Rattus norvegicus: one gene and its partners. The protein of the gene in region 5 interacts with the protein of the main gene of each other region in a biochemical or structural test. Links are inferred from orthologs where the notes say so. Each region holds a gene or a part of one and is shown on either strand. Other genes may lie near its edges.

What was found.
Region 1: the proteins of Rpa1 (region 5) and Rfwd3 form a complex in vitro, tested with the Homo sapiens proteins (3 studies listed by BioGRID, with this or other methods). The link is inferred for Rattus norvegicus from reciprocal best matches to the Homo sapiens genes RPA1 and RFWD3.
Region 2: of the proteins of Rpa1 (region 5) and Cdk1, one has a biochemical effect on the other in vitro, tested with the Homo sapiens proteins (2 studies listed by BioGRID). The link is inferred for Rattus norvegicus from reciprocal best matches to the Homo sapiens genes RPA1 and CDK1.
Region 3: the proteins of Rpa1 (region 5) and Atm form a complex in vitro, tested with the Homo sapiens proteins (3 studies listed by BioGRID, with this or other methods). The link is inferred for Rattus norvegicus from reciprocal best matches to the Homo sapiens genes RPA1 and ATM.
Region 4: the proteins of Rpa1 (region 5) and Atr form a complex in vitro, tested with the Homo sapiens proteins (2 studies listed by BioGRID, with this or other methods). The link is inferred for Rattus norvegicus from reciprocal best matches to the Homo sapiens genes RPA1 and ATR.
Region 6: the proteins of Rpa1 (region 5) and Rad51 form a complex in vitro, tested with the Homo sapiens proteins (2 studies listed by BioGRID). The link is inferred for Rattus norvegicus from reciprocal best matches to the Homo sapiens genes RPA1 and RAD51.
Region 7: the proteins of Rpa1 (region 5) and Prpf19 form a complex in vitro, tested with the Homo sapiens proteins (2 studies listed by BioGRID, with this or other methods). The link is inferred for Rattus norvegicus from reciprocal best matches to the Homo sapiens genes RPA1 and PRPF19.

The regions. Positions count from the first base shown.
Region 1 is NC_086037.1:56,153,816-56,157,315, forward strand, and holds part of Rfwd3 (E3 ubiquitin-protein ligase RFWD3), read right to left. Parts: intron 2,335-3,500; coding exon 2,184-2,334; intron 1-2,183. UniProt on the Homo sapiens protein: E3 ubiquitin-protein ligase required for the repair of DNA interstrand cross-links (ICL) in response to DNA damage. Plays a key role in RPA-mediated DNA damage signaling and repair.
Region 2 is NC_086038.1:19,263,894-19,268,092, reverse strand, and holds the start of Cdk1 (cyclin-dependent kinase 1), read right to left. Parts: upstream 2,801-4,199; 5' UTR 2,725-2,800; intron 1,524-2,724; exon of another isoform or gene 1,433-1,523; intron 616-1,432; exon of another isoform or gene 566-615; intron 69-565; 5' UTR 43-68; coding exon 6-42; intron 1-5. UniProt on the Homo sapiens protein: Plays a key role in the control of the eukaryotic cell cycle by modulating the centrosome cycle as well as mitotic onset; promotes G2-M transition via association with multiple interphase cyclins.
Region 3 is NC_086026.1:62,752,130-62,755,629, reverse strand, and holds part of Atm (serine-protein kinase ATM), read left to right. Parts: intron 1-22; coding exon 23-111; intron 112-202; coding exon 203-305; intron 306-976; coding exon 977-1,125; intron 1,126-2,593; coding exon 2,594-2,698; intron 2,699-3,500.
Region 4 is NC_086026.1:105,382,822-105,386,321, reverse strand, and holds part of Atr (serine/threonine-protein kinase ATR), read right to left. Parts: coding exon 3,458-3,500; intron 2,005-3,457; coding exon 1,861-2,004; intron 316-1,860; coding exon 165-315; exon of another isoform or gene 1-164. UniProt on the Homo sapiens protein: Serine/threonine protein kinase which activates checkpoint signaling upon genotoxic stresses such as ionizing radiation (IR), ultraviolet light (UV), or DNA replication stalling, thereby acting as a DNA damage sensor.
Region 5 is NC_086028.1:60,653,280-60,656,779, forward strand, and holds part of Rpa1 (replication protein A 70 kDa DNA-binding subunit), read right to left. Parts: intron 1,228-3,500; coding exon 1,051-1,227; intron 297-1,050; coding exon 189-296; intron 1-188. UniProt on the Homo sapiens protein: As part of the heterotrimeric replication protein A complex (RPA/RP-A), binds and stabilizes single-stranded DNA intermediates that form during DNA replication or upon DNA stress.
Region 6 is NC_086021.1:126,564,210-126,567,709, reverse strand, and holds part of Rad51 (DNA repair protein RAD51 homolog 1), read right to left. Parts: intron 2,687-3,500; coding exon 2,569-2,686; intron 1-2,568.
Region 7 is NC_086019.1:216,965,224-216,969,306, forward strand, and holds the start of Prpf19 (pre-mRNA-processing factor 19), read left to right. Parts: upstream 1-1,283; 5' UTR 1,284-1,470; coding exon 1,471-1,489; intron 1,490-3,516; coding exon 3,517-3,666; intron 3,667-3,825; coding exon 3,826-3,902; intron 3,903-4,083. UniProt on the Homo sapiens protein: Ubiquitin-protein ligase which is a core component of several complexes mainly involved pre-mRNA splicing and DNA repair. Required for pre-mRNA splicing as component of the spliceosome.

The DNA of each region.
Region 1 (3,500 bases), on a different chromosome or scaffold from region 5:
TTTTTGACACAGGGTCTGTCTCTCTGTGTTGCCTTGGCTGTCTGTGAACTCACCCTACAGACCAGGCTGGCCTCGAACTCACAGATTCCCTGCCTCTGCCTTAAAGGCATGTGTCCCTACTGCCTAGTTCCTTTAAAGATTTCTTAGAGTGAAAAGGAGTAGGAAGGTAGCTCCAAAGGAATAGATCACACTCAGGTCTCATATTACTAGTTACCCGGGGGACAGACCTGGAGTAAGCAGTCCTGAGCTGTCACTGCAATTCTATGAGGAGACAATGACTTCCCACATTATATCCCAACATCTATAGAACACTGCTCTCATTCAAATAGTTTAATATGGACTTTTAAAGTATGTAATTTTAGGGGATAAAGAGATGGGTCAGTGGTCAACCGCACCTATTTTTCTCAGAGAGGATCTGGATTCAGTTCCCAGCACTCAGATGGGGACCATCAACCACCTGGAACTCTGTTCAGTCCCTGATGCCCTCTTCTGGCCTCTGCAAGTACTGCATGCAGGTGGTGTACAGCAGACACGAGGGCAAACAAGACACACACACACACAGACACATACACACAGACACATACACACAGACACATACACAGACACACACACACACGCACACACACACACAGGCACACACACAGACACACACACACAGACACACACACACACATACACAGACACACACACAGACATGCACACACACACAGACATACACACACACAGACACACACAGACACATACACAGACACACACACAGACACGCACACACACACACAGACATACACGCACACACAGACACACACACACACAGACACACACACACAGACACATACACAGACACACACAGACACATACACAGACACACACACACAGACACGCACACACACACAGACACACACAGACACATACACAGACACACACACACAGACACGCACACACACACAGACACACACAGACATACAGACACACACACAGACACGCACACACACAGACACGCATACGCAGACACGCACACACACACACAGACACACACAGACATACACGCATACACACAGACACACACAGACACGCACACACACACACAGACATACACATACACAGACACGCACACACACAGACACACACACACAGACACGAGCACACACATCCCTCTAGTAAAACTTTTAAGTGAAATTTTAAAGAATTAGAATAGCCCAGCCTTTGATGCAGGCCCAAAATACCAGTTACTCAAAGGAATAACAATTACAAGGTCAAAGCCAGCCTAGGTAAATTACCAAGAGCCACAGAGTTAAAAATAAAAATGGCATGGAGAGGGTTGGGGATTTAGCTCAGCGGTAGAGCGCTTGCCTAGCGAGCGCAAGGCCCTGGGTTCGGTCCCCAGCTTCGAAAAAAAGAAAAAAAGAAAAAAAAAATGGCATGGAGAGAGCCATGACGAATGCTTGTCACACACATTCCAGACCCAGGCTCAATCTGCAGTACTACAAAAACCAACGAACACGAGTCAGACTACCTCACATTAACTCAGTGACCTCCTGTGTTACTTTTAAATTTTTCCTTTTTTGCCCAGTCTCATGCTCTTGGGTTGCTTCCTCATGACCTTTTTTTTTGGTTCTTTTTTTTTTCGGAGCTGGGGACCGAACCCAGGGCCTTGCGCTTCCTAGGCAAGCGCTCTACCACTGAGCTAAATCCCCAACCCCCAGGTCTCTACCTTTTAGGGGCTGGAATTACAGGCATTTGCTACCACAACCCCCAAGTTTATGTCTACTTTTCTGTCTTTGTTTTTAGACAGGGTTTAATTCTGTAGTTCAAGTTGTCCTGGAATTTACTATGTAGTCCAGGCTAACTTCAAACACATGGTAATCCTCATGCCTATCAGGACCCCAAGTCTAGGATTAGAGGTGTCAATCACCACACAGAACATATAGACTTTTATTTCATTCATTTATTTATTTAGAGATGGTCTCTCTACACAGCTCTGGTTGTCCTAGAACTCACTATAGGTCAGCCTAAAACTTGTAGGAGATCTGCCTGCCTCTCCATGCTGGGTTTAAAGTATGTGTTTGGCTGCGTATATCCTTTCACAAGAAGACACTGGCTCAGATCAAAAAAAGGGCACCATAACACTAAGACTAACTTGACGCACAGTGACCCAGGCCCCATCTTTCCCTCGACTCCCTTACCTGGTCAGTTTAATGGTGTTGTCAAGGGAGGCGGAGAGGAGCAAGCCTTTGGATTGATTGCTGAAAGCTAGTCCACGAATCTGCTTGCTATGCATAGGGATGTACTGACTGCTTCTCATGTTCGCAGTACTCAGCATCTTAACACCAAAGCCTACCAAAGAAGAAAGTTAAAACAGGAACACAAAGGTAAATCATGGCAAAACAGAACTGTCTTTTAAAGTAATTAGCACCTTTCAAAAGTGATTTGCTTACCTTTCCTGGAATCCAAGTCCCTAGGGAACAGCTAGTCACATAATGAAAACGAGAATTTCCCAGTTACACATTTTTTTTTTTTTTTTGAGAATGTTTTTCTGTGTAGCCCTGGCTGTCCTGGAACTTGCTCTGTAGACCAGGCTGGCTTTGAACTCAGAGACCTGCCTGCCTCTGACTCGAGTGCTAGAATCAGATGCATGTGCCACCATGCCAAGCACCTTAGGGTTATACTTAAAAAATTTTTAAAAAGCAAAATCCATTTTAAATATCCATCAAGAGATGGATGGACAGATTTACCAAGTATATATATAATGAAATACCACCCAGTAATAAACTACCAATTTGCATAAAAATATGGCTCTAAGAACAAAAAGAAGCACACACTGTATGGTGCCATTTATACAACGTTCTGGAACGTGCACCGGCGAACGGCAGGTCGGTGGCTGCCCGTGAGTGTGTAGAAGGGAAAAAGATAACGGACCTTACAAATCTGTACAATTTAATTTTATGACACTTGTATTTTGGTAAAGCTATTGAGACAGGTGGGCATGGTAGGATGTAATTACAATTCTAGCATTAGTAAAGGCTTGAGGCCAGCGTGGTCTATACAGTAAGACCCAGTCTCAAGTAGACAAATATAAAGGAAGCCGTCTGGACAAATATCAAGCACATCACCTACAAAAAGAGGTTAATTCAAGATTCAAAGACAGGAACAATAAAGAACAGAGAAAGGGCCGGAGAAACTACCATGTCAATTCATCTTATCCAAGATTCATTCGCAGTCATGCTTTGCCACATGCGTGATGTACACTGTGGGCCACCTGGCACCCTCACGTGGCCAGACCAAGGGCGCCTGTCAGCCCTCCTGGGACTGGAGTTACAGTCTGTGACAGATGGTTGTGAGCTGTCACGTGGGTGGCTGAGAACTGAACCCGGGGCCTTTGGAAGAAGTTAGTGAACTTCACTGCTTTTAACCATCTCTCCAGCCCTAGTTGTGCCTTTATCTCTGTGTGGGTATATGCACGTGAACGTGGGCCCCCACAGAAGCCAGAAGAGGGCATTAGA
Region 2 (4,199 bases), on a different chromosome or scaffold from region 5:
CTCACCTTCTCCGATTTTCTCTATTTTGATATAGTCCTCCATAGTTACTCAACAGGTTACAACGGACCCTAAAAGGACGAGAAACATGGCTGTGGTCATGTGGTCATAATTCAAACAGTCGGAAGTATCCGGAAGACAGACGTCCCGGAGGAGTGCTTTCCATCACCTCCAGCATAGCCTGCCACTATCCGCCATTCCTTCAGGCAGTATTGTTGGGCTTTACCTGCTCCTGCAGTGAAGCGTTCCGAGCCTTCTCAGACACTGCCTTTGTATATTCTATACAGTGTTGTACATGGCCCCTTCACATTCACAAACCAAGCAGGCCTGTCGACCCAGCTACTAAGGAGACTGTCACACAGCCAGCTAAACGACTTAGTGATACTATGTCTCAAAAGAAATAAGCAGTAGTCCCTGACCCTCGGGACTTAAAGTTTCAAAACGGAAGTATAATGATTTTAATGCCAGTATTTCAACACGTTGCTACTGTACTAAAATTGCTTTATTTTTTTTTCCTTTAAAACAATGAGAATCTGTGAGAAGGAAGCTGTGCATGATGTAATCCTACCGTAAGGAAGAGCAAGTTCGAGGCCAACCTGTGGCCTAGTTTGCTGCAGCCCTGTCTGAGAAGGAAACAAAGTACAACTGTAAAGTCCAACCCCTAGAAAGGAAGGACAGTCATTTTTTAATAAAAGCTTCTGTTTACCTTAAAAGCATTCAATTCACTTGAAACAGCATGAACTCCTAGCTGCACAAGTGAAGTAAATCTTTTCGGAAACCAGCCACAGACAATCCCACTCAAGACTCAAGACTTGGAGGGAATGCCAATAAGCCCCTTAGAAGGAAGTATGTGAGGTGAGGAGCTGGCCAGTTTAGGTCACATTGTCACAAGCTGAAGTCACCAGAGAGGGAACCTCAGTTAAGAAAATGCTTCTGATAGGGCTGTAGGCAAGCCCTTAGGGTATTCTCTTAATTAGTGATGATGGGAGAGGGCTCAGCCCATTGTGGGAGGGGCCATCCCTGGGCAGAGGGGCCTTCCTTCTAGAAGAAAGCAGGCTGTGCAAGCAATGTCAAGGAAGCCAGGAAGCAACACCCCTCCATTGCCTCTGCATCTGCTCCTGCCTCCAGGGTCCCGTTCAGACTTCCTCTGTTATGGAATTGTGACGAGGAAGTACAAGACAACTAAACCCTTTCCTTCCCAAGTTGCTTTGCTTTGGGCATGGCTTTTCACCATAACAATAATAACCCTGACTAAGACAGTTTGAACAAAACCCTAATCACACCGGCAAAAATATCATGAGCAAGGAAGGAAAAAAAAAAACCTTGGCTCACAAAGAATGGCAGAAAGAAAAAAAAAAGAAAAGAAAAAACTAAGCGCCTTTTCCTTGAAAGCCCTGGGCAGATCCTTACCAATGAACATCAAGGAATAGCTGACCTTTTGTGAGCTGGTCCTTACAGATCCCTTTGCACTGTAAAATCAGCTCTGTGGGGTGTGGTGGCACAGCCTGGAATCCCAGCTCTTGAGACTGCACAAGGAGACAGGGGCTCAACAAATTAAAAAAAAAAAAATCAAAAAGAAAATGTAAACCTGTCCAAGAGCCTTGCCAGGCATCCCACTAGACCCTGGGGATTCTCATACGCCTAAGTTTGACTCTCAACTATGTATATGTTTAAGAAATTACTCCCCCCCCCCCAAATCCCCTTTCTTCAACACAGAGACGTAACAGAACTATAGTACATTAAACTGTGCCGCCACCTCTGCACAGACAGCAAAGAGTTAAAGTGTCTTCAAAACTGGGCTCATCCCTTCCAACCTTTTCCAGCCTCCTGGGGCTGGTGTTAAAAGCTGCCCAGGGTATCCAAGTTTGGGGGGTTGGGATAGGGGTATGGTGGTCCACGCACCAAGACCTTCATCATTACTTATGTTTTAAGACGATGAAGGATGCGATGGTATCCGCGGTTCTCCCTCTCTCTGTTTCTTAGCCTGGGTAGCGTCTGTGGCCGTCTATAAGCACCCGCAACTAAAAATAAACGATCCTACACTCTCTTGGCTCTGCACCTTGGTGGGATTGCTTTTTGAACGACCACGGGTCTGTTTCTCCGGCAGTACCGACTTGAAGGCCTCCGAAAGCAGCTGGTCTGGTGCAGCCCAGCTCCGCACAGGCAGCCAGCAGGGCCTGGGACCCAACTTGGCACCCCGCCCACACCCGGGGCTCCAGCGAGGCCTGCTCGTCTGCAGGACCCCGGGCTTGGGTGAGTCCTGTTCCTCCATAGAGGATCCCAGCCCCGGGTGATCCCTGCCCCTCCATAGGGGACCTGGGGCTCAGAGGAACCATGCTCCTCCAAAGGGGACCCCGGACTTAGGTGAGGTCATGCCCATCCATAGGGGACCCCAGGCTCAGGTGAGCCCTACAACTCCATAGGGGACCCCGGGCTAAGGTAGACCATGCTCATCCATAGGAGATCGATCCCAGGCTCAGCTGAGTCCTGCACCTCCATAGGGGACCCCAGGCTCAGGGAGGCCATGACGGTCCATAGGGGACCCTGGACTCAGGTGAGGCCCTACCCGTCCACAGGAGACCATGATCTCACGTGGAGGCTCTACCCGTCCACAAGGGGGTCCCCCGGACTCACAGGATGTCCTGCCTGTCCCCCCCCGGGGGGACACCCCGGCTCCCGTGGAGCCCCCGCAGGCCCTGCCGGCACCCTGCCGGACTCACGCCATACCTCTCTGTTCCCGCGGTGGCCACACCGCAGTTCCGGACTGCGCGGACGCAGCGACTCCGGGAGCTTAGAGGCCGAGTGCCAGCAGTTTCAAACTCACCGCGGTAAAGCTCCCCGGGTCCGCCAATCCGATTGCACGTAGACGTTCAAAGGAGCCAATCAGAGCCGAGCTAAGCTACGGCCCGGGCTGCCTGGGAGTGCAGAGCGCGAAAGGGAGCGGAAACCGCGGCCGGAGGAATTACAGGAGGGCGGGCGCCAACTGACTCTTGAGCTCAGCTTTCCTTCCAATGTCGTCTTGTTGTTTCTGGACAGTCTAATCTGTTTTTCCCCCCTCCCTCTACATTTCTATTTGTAACTTTCTTTCAGGATTAACACAATTAAAATGTATTGCATTTAGATAGCTAGCCACAAAAGTGATAATGCCACTACATCAAGAGTTTCTTATTTTTACTACTTTTATTTTGTTTGGTTTTGCTTTTTTTGAGACAAGTTTTCTCTGTGTAGTCTTGACTGTCCTGGAACTGGCTCTGTAAACAAGGCTGGGCTTGAACTCACAGATATCATCATGCTTCTGCCTCCTGAGTGCCCAGGTTAAAGGTGCGTGCTGCTGCCACCACCACCTGGCTACTGCTAACATTTAAAATTACTTTCTGGAATTGGAGATTTAGCCCAGTGATAGAACACTTGGTCCTCAGCTCCAAAGGGGGAAAAATTACTTTATGATTATGCCTTTCAAAAATATATATTAAGCTGAGGATTGTGGCACATGCCTTTAATCCTAGCACACACAGCAGCAGGCATGTGTGTGTGTGTGCATATGTTGTGTGTATGTGCACTGGCATATGTATGTGCACATGTGTGTATGTTTGTGTATATAAACATCTGTTTTTATATATAGCTATAATATATACATACATAATATTAAGTTTCACTATGGAATTGTGAAATGTTATTGGTCTGTGTTAATTCTTCTCATCCTTCTCCAGTAACCCTAATACCCCCATCTTTTTTTTTTTTGGTTCTTTTTTTTTTCGGAGCTGGGGACCGAACCCAGGGCCTTGCGCTTCCTAGGTAAGCGCTCTACCACTGAGCTAAATCCCCAGCCCCCTAATACCCCCATCTTGTAACTGCCCACCCCCACCCCCATAGCCTCCCATGTCCTGGCACCATGTCCATGACTCTCATTTTTCCCTTCTGGTGACCCTTCCTTTGTAGTTCAAAGCTTATATACACACTAACATATGACCACTACATGCTAGGATCCGCATATTTAAAGGAACATGAAGTCGCTGTCTCAGTATGTCTCTGTTAGCTCCCTTGATGTATTTCCCAGATGGCCCCATGTTCCATGATTACAGTTTTGCTAATGAGTGATTAGTGGCCAGCAGAAGGATCACATTTAAAGTGTCTGGAGAAGACAAGGGCAAAGGAACCAATGAAACCCTGAAAGACACTCTGGAAACTGAAAAGAGAAAATG
Region 3 (3,500 bases), on a different chromosome or scaffold from region 5:
CCTTTGGTATTTTTCTTTTCAGGATCTTCTCTTGGAGATCTACAGAAGTATAGGAGAGCCAGACAGCCTGTATGGCTGCGGGGGAGGGAAAGTGTTACAACCCCTTACCCGGTAAGTTGCACCTTTCAGATAGTGATTCTGCCTTTCGAAGGAGCTCCATGCGCACAGAAACAAAAGATGTTTTCACCGTCATCTCTTACAGAATAAGGACGTACGAGCATGAAGCAACGTGGGAGAAAGCCTTAGTGACATACGACCTTGAGACCACCATCTCCTCCTCCACCCGCCAGTCGGGAATCATCCAGGTACACTGCCATCCGTGCCTGCTTCCGTAAAGCTGTCGTCAGTGGAGTTAGGCTGTCAGACATTAGGCCAGCACCTCAGTACACATTGGAAAGCTGCACAGGTCACTGTAGTTTGTTGATAATACTTTTATTACCCAACAGCAGAAGACACTTCTGGAGTGTGTACAGTATGCCTGCCAGGAGACACTCGTAGTGCTTCACATGGCACTAGTTTGCTTTAGAGTTGGTCCAGGAAACTGTCCTATCTTTTACTATAATAGGCTTAGGTATCTTTCCACCAAACATTAACATTCTCTGAGGAGAAATATACACGCTAAGCAATATTTTAGAGTTTTAAGTGATACTGTTAATTAAAATTTTTGAAATTAAAATTTGGGGGTGGGGGCTGGGTTTCTCGCTAGTTCAATGGTTCTCAACCTGTGGTCGCGACCCCCTTTGTGGGCTGGCTGACCTTTTCACAGAAGTCACATGCAAGATATTTAAATTACGATTCATAACAGCAGCAAAATTGCAGTTATGAAGTAGCAGTGAAAATGACTTTATGGTTCGGGGTCACCATAGCATTAAGAATTGTACTAAAGGGTCTCAGGATTAGGAAAGGCTGAGACCACTGGTCTACTCTATCCTGACGTATTTGATCATGTATTCATTTTGTGATAACTTCCTTTCAGGCCTTGCAGAACTTGGGGCTCTCCCATATTCTTTCTATCTACTTGAAAGGATTGGACCATGAAAGGAGAGAGTGGTGTGGGGAACTGCAGGAGCTTCATTACCAGGCGGCGTGGAGGAACATGCAGTGGGACCTCTGCACTTCTGCCAAGTGAGAGCAAACCAGCCTCTCCCCACTGCTTCTATCTGACCCTGAAACTGTGCATTTGGTTGTTTTCTCTATGAGTGCTGCTGGCTTTTGTTTTTTAATATATTGTACAGACACTATGGGCCGCACATATGACTAAATATTTAGTATACAATAGGCAGCTAGCACAATGAAGGTTGAATTTCATTCTTATTTTTTTCCACCAGAGAAATTCTATCCCCTGCTTCAAGTGTTTTGTAGATAGAAATTTTTAAAAATGCCTTTTCCTGTGAAAATATTGATTGTTGAATTGAGGAATCTAAAGACAAGTGTAGGCCTTCTCCCTACCACTTCTTGCTACATTGTAGTCAAAAGCATTTCTATTGGCTGGGTGATAAAATCAGTTACCTTTGTTAATGTTTTGTGGTGGTGGTTGTCGTTGCTGCTGTTAAAAAGTAGTGCTAGGCCAGGAGCAGTGGTGCACTGGGAGTCACAGGCAGGTGGATCTCTGGTTCGATGCCAGCCATGACTACATAGTGAGTACTAAGCCAGCCAGGGCTACCACAAACAGATAACCAGGCAGTTTATAAAGTACTGCCAAACCAAGTTACCCAAGAAGATAAAAGTTGTAGCCTGTATTTCAAATCATTGTATTTTTTAAATGAAAACCAAAACACCTAGACTACTAAAGGATTTAATAGTTACATAAAAAAGTCTGATAGAATGCTAAAAAATTAAGTCATTTTAATTACTTTAATGGAAAAATGTTTTCATAAATTGGAGTGTTTATCAAATTTCATGTTAGGAGTGGTATAAAAAGCGGATTTATTCATATGTAGGTGAATTTTCTGTGTTTGTTTTGAGACAGTTTCTCTGTGTAACCCTGGCTGTCCCGGAATTCGCTCTGTAGACCAGAAGATCCTACTTCTGCCTCCTGAGTGCTGGCACCAAAGGCTCGCGCCACCACCACTCAACTGCTCTCATTTTAAATATTTATTTTAAATGTAAAATTGAGAACCAACTAGAATTTCTAAGTTTTTGGTTTTTTTTTTAAAGAATTTAAATGACCTGTAAAATGCTTTCCTCTTCTCACTGCCTTTTACTGCTTTGGCTTGTTTGTTTTTTTTCTCTTTGTTTATATATATATTTTTTTTTTTTGGTTCTTTTTTGCGGAGCTGAGGACCGAACCCAGGGCCTTGCGCTTCCTAGGCAAGCGCTCTACCACTGAGCTAAATCCCCAACCCCCTTTGTTTATATTTTGAGTTAGGATTTTACCATGTGACTGTGGCTGGCCTTGAGCTCACTAAGATCCACCTCTCTCTGCCTACCAATTAAAGGCATATGCCGCTGCACCAGCTACATATTTTTCTTAATCTCTGCAAACTTTTATGAGAAATCTTAATTTTAGTTCTCAACATTGTTCTTTGAGTTAGTTATAGATGCATATCTCAGAGTTTTCCATTTTTAAATTTGTTTTTTAATCATCTCGCAGCCAAGAACTAGAAGGAACCAGTTACCACGAATCGTTGTATAATGCTCTGCAGTGCCTAAGAAACAGAGAATTCTCCACATTTTATGACAGTCTCCGACATGCCAGGTATTATAAAAAAGACAGATTGTTTTTATATTTGATGCTGTGGCTGCTATCCTCAAAATGTGAGTAGATTTAAATAAGAATTTGCGTCAGTGAAGGGATAAGACTTGGTGGCTGAGTTCAAGCGTTTCTTTGTCGTTCTTTGCTCTCAAGAAAGATTTTCTTGAGGACCTACGTCAGTTCTTCAGTCTGCGCCCTCTGGAAAAGCATGATAGTATTCTCTTTTGTACACGTGTCCTGGAAGAGTTAACCTTTGTCCTTTCTAGTTTCATGGCCTTCACTCTCTTACCATCATAGCTCTGCTTTGTAAGCTTGGTTTCTCTGAGGCATACATGGTGTAGCAATTAGCTGTAACAAGTTAAACAAACATGAATTTTTTTTAAGGTTTATTTATTTTTATATGCAGTGCTGTTTTTGCCTACGTATACGTCTGTGATCCCTTGGGACTGAAGTTACAGATAGTTGTGAGCTGCCATGTAGGTGCTAGGAATTGAACCCTGGTTAAGAGCAGCCAGTGCGCCTAACCACTGAGCCATCTCTCTACCCCCAAACATGAATATTTTAAACACTCGCCACTGACATCATAAATCCTATACATGTTGTTTGGTTATTGTTTGGTTTTAGACCCCAGAACAGGGGACTGAGGTGCATATTTTACACATCAAAGCAGACGTGGCCTCCTTGTTCTCCCAGCATCCCTCAGTCCCTGCCTGGTATACCTTGCCCCCAATCCTGAACTTTCCAGTCTAGGGGCTGGGCTGCCCTTCCCCAGAGGGTCTTCCCTATGTAATCCGGACATTTTGGT
Region 4 (3,500 bases), on a different chromosome or scaffold from region 5:
GAAGGGAAGAAAGAAGATCCTACATGCTTCTATATGTAGAATATAAATTCTACCAGGCTTAGGTAAAATATGTGCATTGATATGATAAAAACTATTATTACATATTACACGTTTGTAGCTAGCAACCTCAGTATATGCTTCTATCATAAGAATAACTACAATACCCTTTTCTTTGTATAGTTTGGTCAGAATAGGTCTCAAGCCAGCAGTGTTGTTCACCCATTCAATAATCCCACACTCATCATTCAGTGGAATAACTGCATATGTTCGGATATGAAGTTCTCTTCGACGTGATTCTGCATCTTTTCTTAAGCTCTATGGAAAACATAGACAGAAATAAAAAATAGAATTCAGATTCCTATTATGTCAAATGTATATCTAAATATTGTTCTTTCCTAGGATATGCGCTGATGGCAGCCTGTAATGAATGATTCTGAAACTTAGAGGAGGAAGCTATGGGATCATGTACCTATTCTCCTTTAAGCCCTAAAATGCCTTGTACAATAGCTTCTTTTTAGCTCTCTACTATGCATTTAACAGAATACTACATTTGAAAAGCAGTATTTATAACCACATCAATGACAAAACGCTATTGTCTTCTTTTCTACTGCGTTATAGATCATGATTAACTATCGATAAGTACTTAAGCACAGAGACTGATGTTTCATTTTATCTAAGAATTGCTATTTTACTTTCCTCTCTGAAAAATTTCATAAGGAATCATACTATCTACCAAAAACAAGCCCAAACCAGTAATGCATGTATGTCTATGTATAAATAGATATAATTAACCTTTAATTCTGAGACTGGGTCTTGTTTACAAAACTTACTAATAAAAATGAATTCCATTAGTTCAATCCTTTCTCAAGTCATTTTTGGCTTACATATAATGATTTATTTGCTTGATTTTCTTTCTTTCTTTTTTAACACAGAGATCTGTGACTTCCGCACAGAAAAATTATTTTTTCCCTGTAGATGATTCTTTGAAGCCTAACTATGCTTGAAACCTTCCTGACTGAGTCCCTTAAATGGTGCTACCACCACCACTCCTAGCTAATAAGTCTTAAATTAGACTTCCCATATTTCTTTGAGTCAGATAGCAAGCACTTACTAACAGAATAAAATCAATGCTAATGATTACTTTTAAACAGTGACATTGTGAAAACAGAACCCATTTTTTTTTCTAGCTTTGAAACAGAAACCTTGGGTTCTAGATAAGTAATAGAGTGCTTTATATAAAGCCATTAAGTAGAAAATATTTTCCTTCATTAATGCCTTACATCCCTTAAAAATAAAATAATAATTGTTAAACATTAAGTAAAGGAGACAATTTAAATCTATGAATATATCCAAAAATCTGATAAGAGGGACTTGAACAAATATTGGTTTACTCATTCAAAGTATCAGGTGGAAGAAACTCAAGCATTCATAATGGACAAGAAGATAAACAATGAGAATACACTCAATGACACTGAAAACTGATTTAAATGATAGTATGTACATTTTATCACAAAAATGAAAATTAAAAGATACATTCCATTTCAACAGTAATCTATCTGCCTATTAAGAAGTCCACATGACTATGACGATTATTTTCCTAATTCTAAAATAAAAGCAATGAGGTTGGGTAGACGGCACAGCAGGTCAGGCACTGCTGTTCTTCTTGCGGACTAAGATCTCAGGACCGATCTCAGGTGGTGCACAGTCATCAGACTAAGGCTCCAGGGAGTCTCATGCCTCGGACTTAGCAGGCTCCTGTACACATGTGCATAGTGATAGAGATGCAAACAGACACACACACACACACACACACACTGAAAATAATATAAACAAATCTTTATAAAGCAAACTGTTTCCAACCTTGTTAATCAAAGAATTAAATTCCATTAGTCTACAGTCTTTTCTCAAATCATCTTTTGGTTTACACATCATGATATAGAATTTTCCATCTGAGCCCTTTAAGGAGATTTTCTTTGGTTTCTGAAGAGAAGAAAGAATTTCTACCTAAAAAATAATGAGTGTTATAGTTAAGACAAGACTGAAATTCTTTGTTAAATTTGAATATTATATTGAGTTATGCATCATAAGAAAGAGTAAGTAGGAGTATGTAGTAAATTTGTATTTTAAAATGTTCTTTTACCTTGGTTATCTAGAAGCTAAAAATTAACGTCTATGAATAGGGACACACTTTCTTAAACATTAGAACTATACAGGAAGTGAACAAACAAACAAACAAAAAACCCAACAAACCCTGACTTTGTCAGTCAAACAAATACTTACACATGCATATTCAGGTAGTCCTTAGAAATCTTACATAATAAAATCTTACATAATAAAAATGTTTATCATAATATTGTCACAAAATCTTACATAATAAAAATGTTTATCATAATATTGGAAGAGTATTATCAAAATACATCATATAAGTATATAAAAATTTCAAAGAACAAGTTTATCAATTGAAAGTACTTTGTTTTTGAAAAAGAAACTTCTCCAAAATGAAGCCTACCTCATGATGTAATTAAGCTAAAAATTACTGCTTAGGTTAAAAACACAACATGATTGTAATAGTGTATAATGTAAGTGGTTCTAAAAATGTTTTAAAATGTCCTTAAGTCATAGAAACTATAGACTAAATATGGAGTCTTTTTTTTTTCTTTTTCTTTTTTTTTCTTTTTCTTTTTTTTTCCTTTTTCTTTTTTTCGGAGCTGGGAACCGAACCCAGGGCCTTGAGCTTCCTAGGCAAGCGCTCTACCACTGCGCTAAATCCCCAGCCCCATGGAGTCTTTAAAAGCGTTTCCTTAGGACTATTTCCTTAAAATAAGCATACATTTACAGCCATGTTTCACAAGTAGGGATGTGGGACAGAAGAAAAGGGGATGCCTGGCAGGTAAGAGGCCACAGGCTCACTCCTAGCAGTGCATTTTAAAAAAGAGGGATGGGCCAAGGAAATGTTCAGTTAGTGGAGCTGCTGCACTGGTGTGAGGAACTGAGTTTGGAGCATCCCTGGGATACAGCGCTTTATAATGAGATAGAAGAATTTTGGAAGCCAATGGCCAGCTAGCTTGAAACTCTTCTGAAACAAAGTAGAAGGTGAGGACCGACTTGAGATTATTTTCTGACCTCCTGTGGGATATGGCACACACACATATTAATTCATGCACACATAGAGAATAACAAGTAATCTGAATCTTGTTTCCTCATAAGAAAAAAATAAACACGTATTTTGCTCATTTGCTCTCCATTTTTCTAAGACAAAAGAAAATATAGGAAAATATAATAATGAGAAAATAGTCATCGTGAAATAAAAGCATGTGAAGATCAAAATGTTAGGCTTGTTATGATTCCGTATCAGTTAGCTTTGTACTACAGTAAAGACAGTTTCACTTCTCTACATTTAATTTGAAGGTAACTACATTTAAAAATTATATTATAGTTATATAAAACTGAAGTTTACCACATCGTCGAAGCCTGCAAGATAGGCCCAATGCCCAGGAAAG
Region 5 (3,500 bases):
CGGCTGGTGCTTCTGTGCAATGTGCTCTACGGTCCCCAAGGCCATCACCTCACAGGACACACACAGAGGACACAGGTTAAGTTCTCACTCAGTGCAGTGAGAGCGCAGACACCACACCCAAAGCAAGCATGCAACAGCTCAGTGGCACCAGGCAAGCACATCACCATGCTGACAAACACGCAGCCAACCTTCTCTTTGAGTTCCCCAAGGTACACAGTGTTCTGTCCAAGAATGGCCTCCGCGGACTCCTGGAAACACGTCACCCACTGATTCTCCTGAAAATCTGCAATATTTACCTAAAAAGACCACAGCTCTATTATTTCAGCGAGTAAATAACAAAAGGAAGACACAACAAGGAGGGGGGATTATCTTTTCCCACTTAAAGTAATTCCAAGGAGAAAAGGTGTTGCATCATACACAGGCCCATCTCTGTGCTTTGGTTAACAGTCCCCTCATATGAGAAGGTTCACTTTTAGTACAGTATCCAATACATCACAGGGGCTACTCGATACTTTTATCATAAAGCGGGCTGTGTGTCAGGTGCTTCTGACCAAGCGTAGGCTATGGAATGCTCTGAGCACACTTGGGAGGCTATGCTGGGCTAGCATTGTTAAGTGCAGGTAATGCTATGCCAGTCTTATGCCATAGGAAGAAGTTTAAAATGTGGTCTAGCTCAGTCTGTTGGAGATGTGAGTTTAGACCTCAGGAGCTAGGCCAACTCAACTCCCACAGACATAGAAGCACCAGTTAGAGCGGTTCCTTCTTAATGCAAAAGGCTTCGCACTGCAAGTTTTTAAATGAGCCTCCATGGTAATAATGGGTTCCTTTCTTTTTATTTTACTGATTTGTTCTCTCCCCTCCTTCACCACGCTTGACATCTTTTAGTTTTTGAGACAGTGTTGTCCAGCAGGGCAAAGCCTTCCTTATTTACAATTTGTCCAGTCCAAATTCATCTGTGACTTCCTCACCACCAACCACACCCTCCAGTGTCATGCCTATGACAGTCAGTCCATGAACACCATAAGGCTTCTCATGATCCACTCTACTCACCGATAAGATCATGCGGTATTTGAAATTGGGAAATTCCCGGTCGCACTTCTCACAGCGGTACAACCCATTCTGCTGGTCAATCACTTTCTTATTGCAGTCCTGGGTCGGGCAGGCCTGGTACATACAGTTCTCTTTGCGAAGAAACACCACTGTTGCCACAGTGCTGAAATAGTCCGCCTGCAGGAGAAAAGGGAGCCGGCATCAGCGGGCTACACAGGTCTGGAACAAGTGACTCAGAGCCGCTCCTCCTTCTAGTAGTGAGTGTGTGCATATTCTAGTCCCATACTCACCGAGCGATTACAGAGTCGCTAACGCTGTGGTTTCAGAAATCACACGTGCTACACGCAAACCCACAGAGGTTACAAACCAGCAGTCAGGCACAGCATTTCCCCTTGTTGGAGACGGCAGCTCACTAGCTAGCCTTGAACTCAGAGAGGTCAGTCTGCCTCTGTCTCTAGAGTGCTTAGCCATAACACCTGGCCACTTAATTCTTTTTACAGTTATTACATACATGTATCCGTGTATATGATGTCCACAAGTATATGAATGCAAGTATGCATGTGTGCACAGGTCAGAGGACAACTTTCAGGAGTCAGTTCTCTTCTTCCACTGTGGGTTTCAGGGAACTCAGGTTTCCAAGATAGCAGAAAAAGTGCCTTTAACAGCTGAGTTATCTTGACACAGAATATTTAAAAATTATTTTTCAAAATTACATTTATTCAATGTGTATATAGTGGTTTTGCATGTATTCATATATACCATAGCATGTGTGTGAGGGCCAGCAGACCAGAGGACAACTTGGTGATCTCCCTTCACCAGGTGAGTGCGGGAGAGCGAACTCAGGCTGTCAGGCTCAGGGGCAGGCACTTTATACTGAGTCACCTTGCTGGCCAAGCACATCATTCCTTACACAGGGATTTCTACCCTTATCCTGAGGGATCGGTAAGCCTTTCCCCAGACCAGCCAGAAAACCCTTTAGGCCCAACGAGCCCTTCAGTCAGTCTCTACTGCCACTCCTCAACCAGCTGCTGTGGGTCAGGACAACCCGAAGACAACATGAAGACAGAAGGTGAACCAGCAAACTCTTACTGGTGGTGACAGACAGCGAGTCACAGCCCTGACAGCGCCTGAACTAAGTAAGTTTGAGAGAATGCAAACATACCCATGACTAAGACCTTCTAAATGGAAAATCCCTGGTAAGTAACCAGCAAGGAACTAAGTCACGGCAGGGGAGATACCTGCTTTTCGATGAACCTTTCACAGAAGCTCTTGTTTTTGTTTATACTCAGTCATGGCAAGTAAACTGCAAAATGCAGGTAGATCCTGAATTCAGAGATAGGCTACCCACTCCCCCAGCCCACGGCCAGGTTCCCACTGTGTAGCCCTGGCTGTCGGTAGAGCTCTCTATACAGACTGAGCTGATATCAAACTCGGAGACCCACTGCCTCCCAAAGTGTTGGGATTAAAGGCATTTGCCACTATGCCTGGCTTACACTGGTTCTTCCAGAGGAGCAAAACCAATTATGGCCATTTAAAGAGACTATGTTAGAAACCAGTTTAGACAGCTTTAGGGCTGTGGGTGTAGCTCAGTGGAAGAGTTTGCTTAGCATGCACGAGCTGTTGGTTTTAACCCTCAGCTCGACAGAACTGAATACATAAGAAGGCTTAGGGGTGGGGATGGAGAGATGAATTAGAGGGTAAGAGCATTGGCTGCTTATGCAGAGACACAAGATCAACTTCCCAGCACCTACATGGTGGCTCACAAACATCTATAACTCCAGTTCCAGGGGATCTGATGTCCTCCTCCTGACATCCTTGGGCACCTGCCACTCATTTAAGCTCACATGCAGGGCCTCAGGCCACTCTGCCGGCTTAAGCGAAGGTGCTGGCTGTCAAGCTGGATGGACTTGAGGTTGGTCCTTGGGACCCACAAGGGCGAGTTTGATTTCTATACACCGAGGTGAAACACTCATGCCTTATCCTACAGTTTTAAAGAGAAAACTGTAGAGAAATAAATTTTAGGAGAGTGCCTAAAGAGCTTCTCTGCATTTCCCGGTTAGACTCAGACTCAGCCTGCTCCCAAGTCTGAGAGCAGACAGGTATTCTGTATTCCTGGTCCTGGCTGTCTACTGGCTGTCTTTAGTTTAAGAGAGCAACTAGGTGAGAAGAAAACAGGAATCTAGCCGACGTTTAATTCTCAGGATGTCCTGTAATAGCATTATAAGTTGCTGTGGATGACAGTGATGGATCGGGCGCACAGTGAAATGAGACAGTGAGGAAGAAAACCTATATTGTACACTATGGCAATAACGGGGCAGCAGCAAGCGGTATTCAGAGTACAATAGAAATAAATGATTCAAACATCCAAGAGAACGCAGGTTAGACCAGGTAGGAAGAGGATCACTAAGAACACATTTAAATGGAAGCTGCAACGGAAATGGAATACCAGA
Region 6 (3,500 bases), on a different chromosome or scaffold from region 5:
TTCAATAATCAGCAATTCATTAATTTGCTTCTTTTCTTTTTGTCTAGGCTTACTAGTTCACACCCGTAAGCCAGCTATGTGGGAAGATGAAACAGAAAGTTCTAAGGTTTAAAACCTGCCTGGGATGTTCAAGACCAATCCGCACAGTACAATGAGACACTGGGTCTGGCAATGCAGCTCAATCGTAGAATGCTCCTTAGATAAAAGGCCTACATTCAACTCCCAATATCGACAAAAATAAAAGTCACACTTATTTTTAAATAAGTATAGGTTATTTGTAAATTGGAGGTCTGGGCACTCATCCCTGAGTCTCCCAGGCTTAGCCTTACATTCCTTAGCCCTCAGTATGTTCACATCTCTCCATATGCACTCATTTGGTGTTGCTATAGTTCTCAGGCAATTTTATTGCATGTACAGCTTCAAGTAATTGCTACCATAATGAAGTTACAGAACTCAACCAAGAAAAGCCAACAAGGGCTTCAGCTGCTTTAATATAACCTGGTATTTACTATTTTTTTGTGAACCTCCTTGTCCAATTTACTTAAACGTACCATTCATGTAGTTCTAAAAGCCTAGGCGATAAGAAGACTTATCCTCATCTTGAAGAAAACAGGCATAGGCACATTAAGTAAATACTAGAAATGAGAATTCTTTTATTTATCTTTAATGAGACAGGCTTTTATGTAGTTTAGGCTAGCCGCAAACTCATCCCATACCTGAGGATAACACTAAACATCTAACCCCTTTCCCTCCACACCCCAAGTGCTGGAATTTCAGGCAGGAGCCATGGTCTCTCTACACAGCCTTTGTGTCCTGGAGGGAAGGGGATCTTCTTAGAGGGTTTAAAACTCAAATTCTGCATGATTCCTGAACCCAGGCTATTTTGTATCCCAAGAAGGAAGAAAAAGTAAATAATCAAATAACTAGAAAAACAGCAAGAACCAAACTTAAAAACTTTTCAACAATGAGGACAACTATGTTTTCAAAAGTTTAAAACCTCCCAGACAAGGTGTAATCCCAGCACTTACGGAATAGAAGCAGTGGGAGCTCTGTGAGTTTCAGGCTAGCTGGTACTACACAATAAACAAACAGATACATACATACATACATACATACATACATACATACATACATGCATACATACTAATATGTACTACACTGAGTAGTATTTAAACAGTGTTTTGTGGCAGGAAGCATAGCTCAGTGGTAGGAGATGTGAGTCTCTGGGCTCACCCCCTTCCCATATACTTCTTCTGTTTCTAAGTTTGTTATTATTGTACTGTGTGTATGACATGTGTGAGGTTGGGCAGGCATGTGCCACAGCTCACAGGTAGAGGGCAGAGGATAACTTGGGAGAATGGGTTATCTCCCTCTACTGTGGGTTCTAGGGATTGGATTCAGGTCATCAGAGTTGTAAGACAACCATTTGCATTACCAGCCATCAAGTTTCCAATCTTGTGTTAAAATTAGAAAATAAACAGGGCTGGAGAGATGGCTCAGCGGTTAAGAGGACCAACTGTTCTTCCAGAGGTCCTGAGTTCAAATCCCAGCAACTACATGGTGGCTCAACCATCTGTAATAGGATCCGATGCCCTCTTCTGGTGTGTGTCTGAAGACAGCTACAGTGTACTTATATAATGAATAAATAAATCCTTAAAAAAAATTAACACTTAAGATATAATATACATATAATACTTATTTCCTTAAACAGGGGGAACTAATTCTTTATATATAGTCAGAGCTACAAAGACACTGTTTCAACAAAACAAAACAAAGCCAAAAGTTAATTTATAGATAGGTAATTTTAGTATTTTATAAATCAGAGCCAGAATGAGTAACTAATGCGTATGTCAAATCTTCACACCTGGAGTATAGGTGCAGAAGACGGGGAATGTAAGTATATTGTTAGCTCCTGAATCAATTCCTAAAACCACTAAACATAATTAAAAAATAAAAATGTCTTATTTTAAAAATGTTACATTTGTAGAATGTTATAAAGAAATATACAAGGAAGTTTTGGGTACACGTCACCTGGCTTCCTCCGATGTTACCTTAATCTTTCCTAACTGTAATAAAGGATCTATGAGAAGCTGATATTCCTACAGTCCAAAATACATTCGATTCAGCCTGAATCTTAGATCTGTTGATACAAGCCAAGGAATCAAAAATAAACAAAACAAACAAGAAAACCCACAAAACAACAACAAAACCAAAAAACAAAACAAAACAACCCACCCCCCCCCAAAAACAGTTCCCCTCAAAACAAAGAAAAATCTAAACTAAAAATCTTTACAGGGGTTGGGGATTTAGCTCAGTGGTAGAGCGCTTGCCTAGCAAGCCCTAGGCCCTGGGTTCGGTCCCCAGCTCCGAAAAAAAAAAAAAAAAATCTTTACAAAAGCAAACCTACAGAATCAGCCAGTCAAGACCCTGAAGAAATCTACTATTCATACGTCTCTATGTAGTATTCTCCCCTAGGATGAATTCTATAGTAATAGTCTGGCTTTGTTTTCACCTCCCATCTGTGTTAATTAGTTAGGGTTTATAAAATAGGATGAGGGGTTACTATACCTTGAAGTAGTTTGTCAAGCTCTTTGGAGCCAGTAGTAATCTGGATGATTTCTGACCGGCGTTGGTGAAATTCGGTTGCAGTGGTGAAACCCATTGGAACTAATTTCGCTGCCTCAGCCTAAGAAAACAATAGGACAGGTTAAAGTAGTAATGTAACACAGGTACACAGGTAAAGAAACCACTATCTGGGAAAGTTGGGACCCAAAATGCTTTAGACTGTGAGTTTTGTATATTTTTGGGCACTTGGGTAGACTAACAGTTTAATATCCTTCACTGAAAATTCCAAATATCCCAAAATCTGAATCTTCTTGAGTGTGAGGTTTTTGATAAAAAAAAAAAAAAATTCAGACTTCTGTGCATATAACCTTATTTTTGTAGTGGAGATGCTCAACCTACATGTGTTGTAAGACAAGCCCAGGAACACAACAGGAAAACACTCTTATGCTAGTATGACAGGAGCGCACCACCACAGGAGCCGAAAAGACAAGGTAGCATGTCTTCCTACCTTACTTCCTATCTGTCATCCCTTCAGATTCTCCTGCCTTGTAAAACCAGGATGCTATTCGCAGCTTTTCTCTTTATTGTTTATTTTCCAAGTATATACAAATAACACTTAGCAACAAAAATGAGACTTTAGTTTGAAAAAAAAAATCAGTCAATATGACAGGACAATAAAACTAAACACCTGGGGGTCTAGAGAGATGGCTCGGTGGTGAAAAGCACTTGCTGCTCTTGCAGAGGACTCACATGGAAGCTTACAACTGCCATAATTCCAGTTCTAGGGGACCCAGCACCATTTTCTGGCTTCCACAGGCACCAGGCATGCATATAGTACACTTAAATACACGCAAGAAAAACACTCATACATATATAAGGAAATAAATCTTTGCAACAGTAACAGCAATCAACAGTAACATCTAGAGGCTGGAGAG
Region 7 (4,083 bases), on a different chromosome or scaffold from region 5:
GGTATCAGGCCCAGCGGCCGGTCTGGTTTTTGTTAGAGAAAACATAAACAGTTGGTAGGTGGCGGGGAACCGTTGTTCTAACAAATATCGGAGGCAGGCTACTTTAAAGAAAAGAGGGCCCTCTTGGCTCAAAGTTCTAGAAGCACAAGGTTCACAGGGAATGACACAGGCAATGTCTAGGGCCTCTTCTGGTGTCACAACTATGGAAGTCAACTCATGCATTTGTGCCTGTTCACTTTCTTTCCTATAAGAACCCCACCAGGATTCTTGTTATGTCCTATTCTAATTCCAAAGATCCCACCTCTAAATGCCACAGTTAAGCCAGATAGTAATGACACATCCCTTTGATTTCAGCACTCAAAAGGCAGAGACAGGAAGATCTTTGAGTTTGAGTCAAGTCTTGTCTACAGACTGAGTTCCAGGACAGCCAAGGGCTATACACACACACACACACACACACACACACACACACACACACACACACACACACACAAACCCTGTCTTGAAAAACAGAAACAAAAATGAAACCACAGAAAAACACCATAGTCCTGTTAACTTTCCACTCTTACGGTTTGTTTGTTTATTGGGACATGCTTTCTCTACACAGCCCTGATTGTCCTGGATTAGAACTCACTGTACAGATCAGGCTGGACTTGAACGCGGAGTTCTGCCTGGCTCTGCAGCTCAGTGCCTGTGCTTAAAGACTTGTGCAAACACACCCATCAACTTTCCATTCTTTTAAATATTCACATAAACGCCAGGAATTAAATTCCCTCGAGTTTAGAAAACAGACTATATTTAAAACGTAGCAGGCAACGAAGCCAGGGACTTGCCCAAATTCCCAGAGCAAGAGTAGAGACAGAACCTAGACAGTGTTAGCTTCTTTACTCATTTGTGCTTTATTTACGGGGTCACATTGTTTCTCAAAAGGCAGCCAAGGAACACAGGCTCAGAATCATACCTACAGACTCTCTAAGGCAGACCCTAGGAATCTGCATTTTTACAAGCTCCTGAGAAATCTGTCCTGCACACGAACATTTCAAAGACTAGTGTTCCCTGGGTGACAGCAGCTCCGCCTCAAAAACAGCCTTGGCCAGATTCCTAGGTTTAAGATCCCCGCAGCCTCATGGGAAATGTAGTTTCTGCTCTCCTTCCCGCCTCAGGCCTCTTGGAAAACTCGCCGGAAGAAGCCGAGCCAATGCGGAAACAGCCGAGTGTTCCGAGGCGGGCCTTTTCCTGCTCGGTTGCATGCTGGGAAAGGGCAGTTTCCGTTAGCTGCAGAAGGCTGAGGCGCGCCACCGGCCACCTCCCCACGTGAAGCAGTTGTGCGAGCATCGCCACGCCGGGCAGCTGTCTACCCGCGTCCGAGCGCTCCGGAAGCGGCGGGGGACCGGAAGTGGCCCGCGGAGGCTGCAGAGCTAGTCCGGGAACCCGCTGTGAGGCGACTGGCAGCAGCGCTACGACGGCGCCATGTCCCTGATCTGCTCGAGTGAGTGCTGGCTGCGGCGGGAGGCGGGAGCGTGTGCGGCCGCTGTGGCTCGGGCCCTAGAGCCCCCGGCCCTGCGTGCAGGGTGCATTTGCGCAGTGATGCGCAATTCACGTAGCTGGGAAGAATGACTGTCTCAGGGGTCTTTTGAAGCCAGCGTCGTTTTACAGAGCTGAGACAGGCCTGAGCAGAAGTGGGGGGAGGAGCTGGTGCAGTGAAAAACAGCTCTTGGTGTCAAAAACCCGAGGACGTGTCCAGGATCCGCCTCCGACTGTGATCTGGGCTCTAGCGGGTTTGGGCCTCAGTTTCCCCACCTGCAAAATTGAAAGCATTGCAATGGATATTGCTTGGGAAACCTCGCTTAGGAATTGGAGTTTCTGATTTGCAGAGATCATGCAGTGACTTCGAGACCAGGGCTGGAAGCCAGGTGTCTGGCTTCTAGCCTCGCGCAGTATGACTAATGAAAACAGCGAATGTTTAGAAAACCTGTATTGATTTACGATGCATTTCCAAACGGTGATCTCATTTTATGCTTACAAGAATTGTCTGAAGGGAAATAAAGATCCGTGTGTTACAGAGGTTGTCGGAAGACTTGAAGAATGGGTTTATCCAGGGGTGTGCGACGAAACTAAGCCATGGAGCTCGGTTCTTTGAGCCTGGATCCATGGTTTTCCCATGTAGTATATGGTCTTGTCTTTGGGTGTTGTATTACGGCATTGCGGGTGTTCTCCCAGTTGTTTACCCCATTACTAGTTTCCTCACTTTCTCTCTTTCCCTCTCAGAACGTTGCCATTAATTCAAAGAGGGAAAGGAAGGAGGGAAATGACAAACAGAAAAGGAAGTCTCATAGTGAAGAAATAGCAGTTTGCAAAGTATTTATGAACGATTTGTTTCCTTTTCATCTTTGAAACAACACTCTTACATGCCCAGGGCCATCCTTCCTCTGGTAGGAGAGGGAAAGCTCTCAGAAAGCTTCAGTCGTTGAGTAGTGAGATAAACCTACAGAATAGGACAGGAAAGCCATATACAAAAATAGGGATTTTAAGTACTGAAACAAATACTTAATTACATGTGCATGGAGTCCTGCAAAATTAAGTGACTCTAAGGGAAGACACTGAGAAGGATAGGAGCTTGAAGCCTTGGGTTGTTGACTCACAACCTATGGGAAGGCGAATAGAATTATGTGATGAATAAGAGCTGTTTTGTGATGTGATAAGTCACTATCTTAGAGCGGCCTTCAGAAGAGTCTGATGTGGAGGTAGCTTTCACTTGTCTGCTTGAGTGATCCAGTTGTCTTTTTTAGGGGAAGGTAGAGAAGCAAGGGGGGTCTGAGAAGGTCAGAGAGACCTTGGTTCTTGCTTTTGAGGCTTTTTTTTTTTTTTTTTTTTTTTTTTTTTTTTGGTAGTTTGGCATGCCCAGGGCTCCATACTTTGGGATATTCTTTTCTGAGCCCCAGTACTTTTGCACTTATTTAATCTGCTCTGATGTTTATCAAGTGTGTGCTTCGCTTCTGCATTGTCCTGGAGGTCAGTGACAGCTGTAAGTCCCATCTTCAAGGGTACACAGACTATTCTGTCGAGCGCTTAGAATAGAATTCTGCCTGGCACGTAGTAGCAGAGCAATGGAAAGTTTTTGTTTGTTTGTTTTTAATTTATCAGTGCTTGTCACATGGCTTTGTAATTTCTCTTGTTGATCCATCTCGGGCTCCCGATGGATGACAGAAGTTTGAGTTGTGCTCTGTGTACTTCTCTGTCATGTGCCTAGTCATCTGGGTTCAAAAAAGAGATCGACCACTCTATACCGCACTGGCACATAGGATCTGGGCAGTTATTATTTATTGACTTTTATTATCAGCAGACCAGAGATTCTAGGTAAGTAGTTGGCAAGCATTGTGGGACCAAGTACAGGCAGGCTTGCTGTCACAGACCTTGCTTCCTGATAGCTGACTATAAAGGACAGGGTCTTGTTGGGGCTGACACAGTGAAGAGTCTCCTTTTACCCTGTGGCTCACTACCTGTCTTTCTCTATAGTCTCCAACGAAGTGCCAGAGCACCCATGCGTGTCCCCTGTCTCTAATCATGTGTATGAGCGGCGACTCATTGAGAAGTACATTGCAGAGAATGGCACAGATCCTATCAACAACCAGCCTCTCTCAGAGGAGCAGCTCATCGACATCAAAGGTGCCTGCCCAATAGCCTTGGTCCAAGGCCATCTCAGCTCAGCCTTCAAGAGTGGGAGGTGGTGCCAATCTGGTGGAGAAGATGGTGGCTGTGAGTGGGGGAGGGGAAGAGTTCCCGGGTTCTAGTTCTTCATACCTGCTTTGCTGCCTCTCTTGGCAGTTGCTCATCCAATCCGGCCCAAGCCTCCCTCTGCCACCAGCATCCCAGCCATTCTGAAAGCCTTGCAGGATGAGTGGGTGAGTCTGTGAAAAGAATGCACCTCCGGGGGCTGGGGATTTAGCTCAGTGGTAGAGCGCTTACCTAGGAAGCGCAAGGCCCTGGGTTCGGTCCCCAGCTCCGAAAAAAAGAACCAAAAAAAAAAAAAAAGAATGCACCTCCGGGCTAGGACCTGAGGATTGAACAGATGAGGCCTCCCTC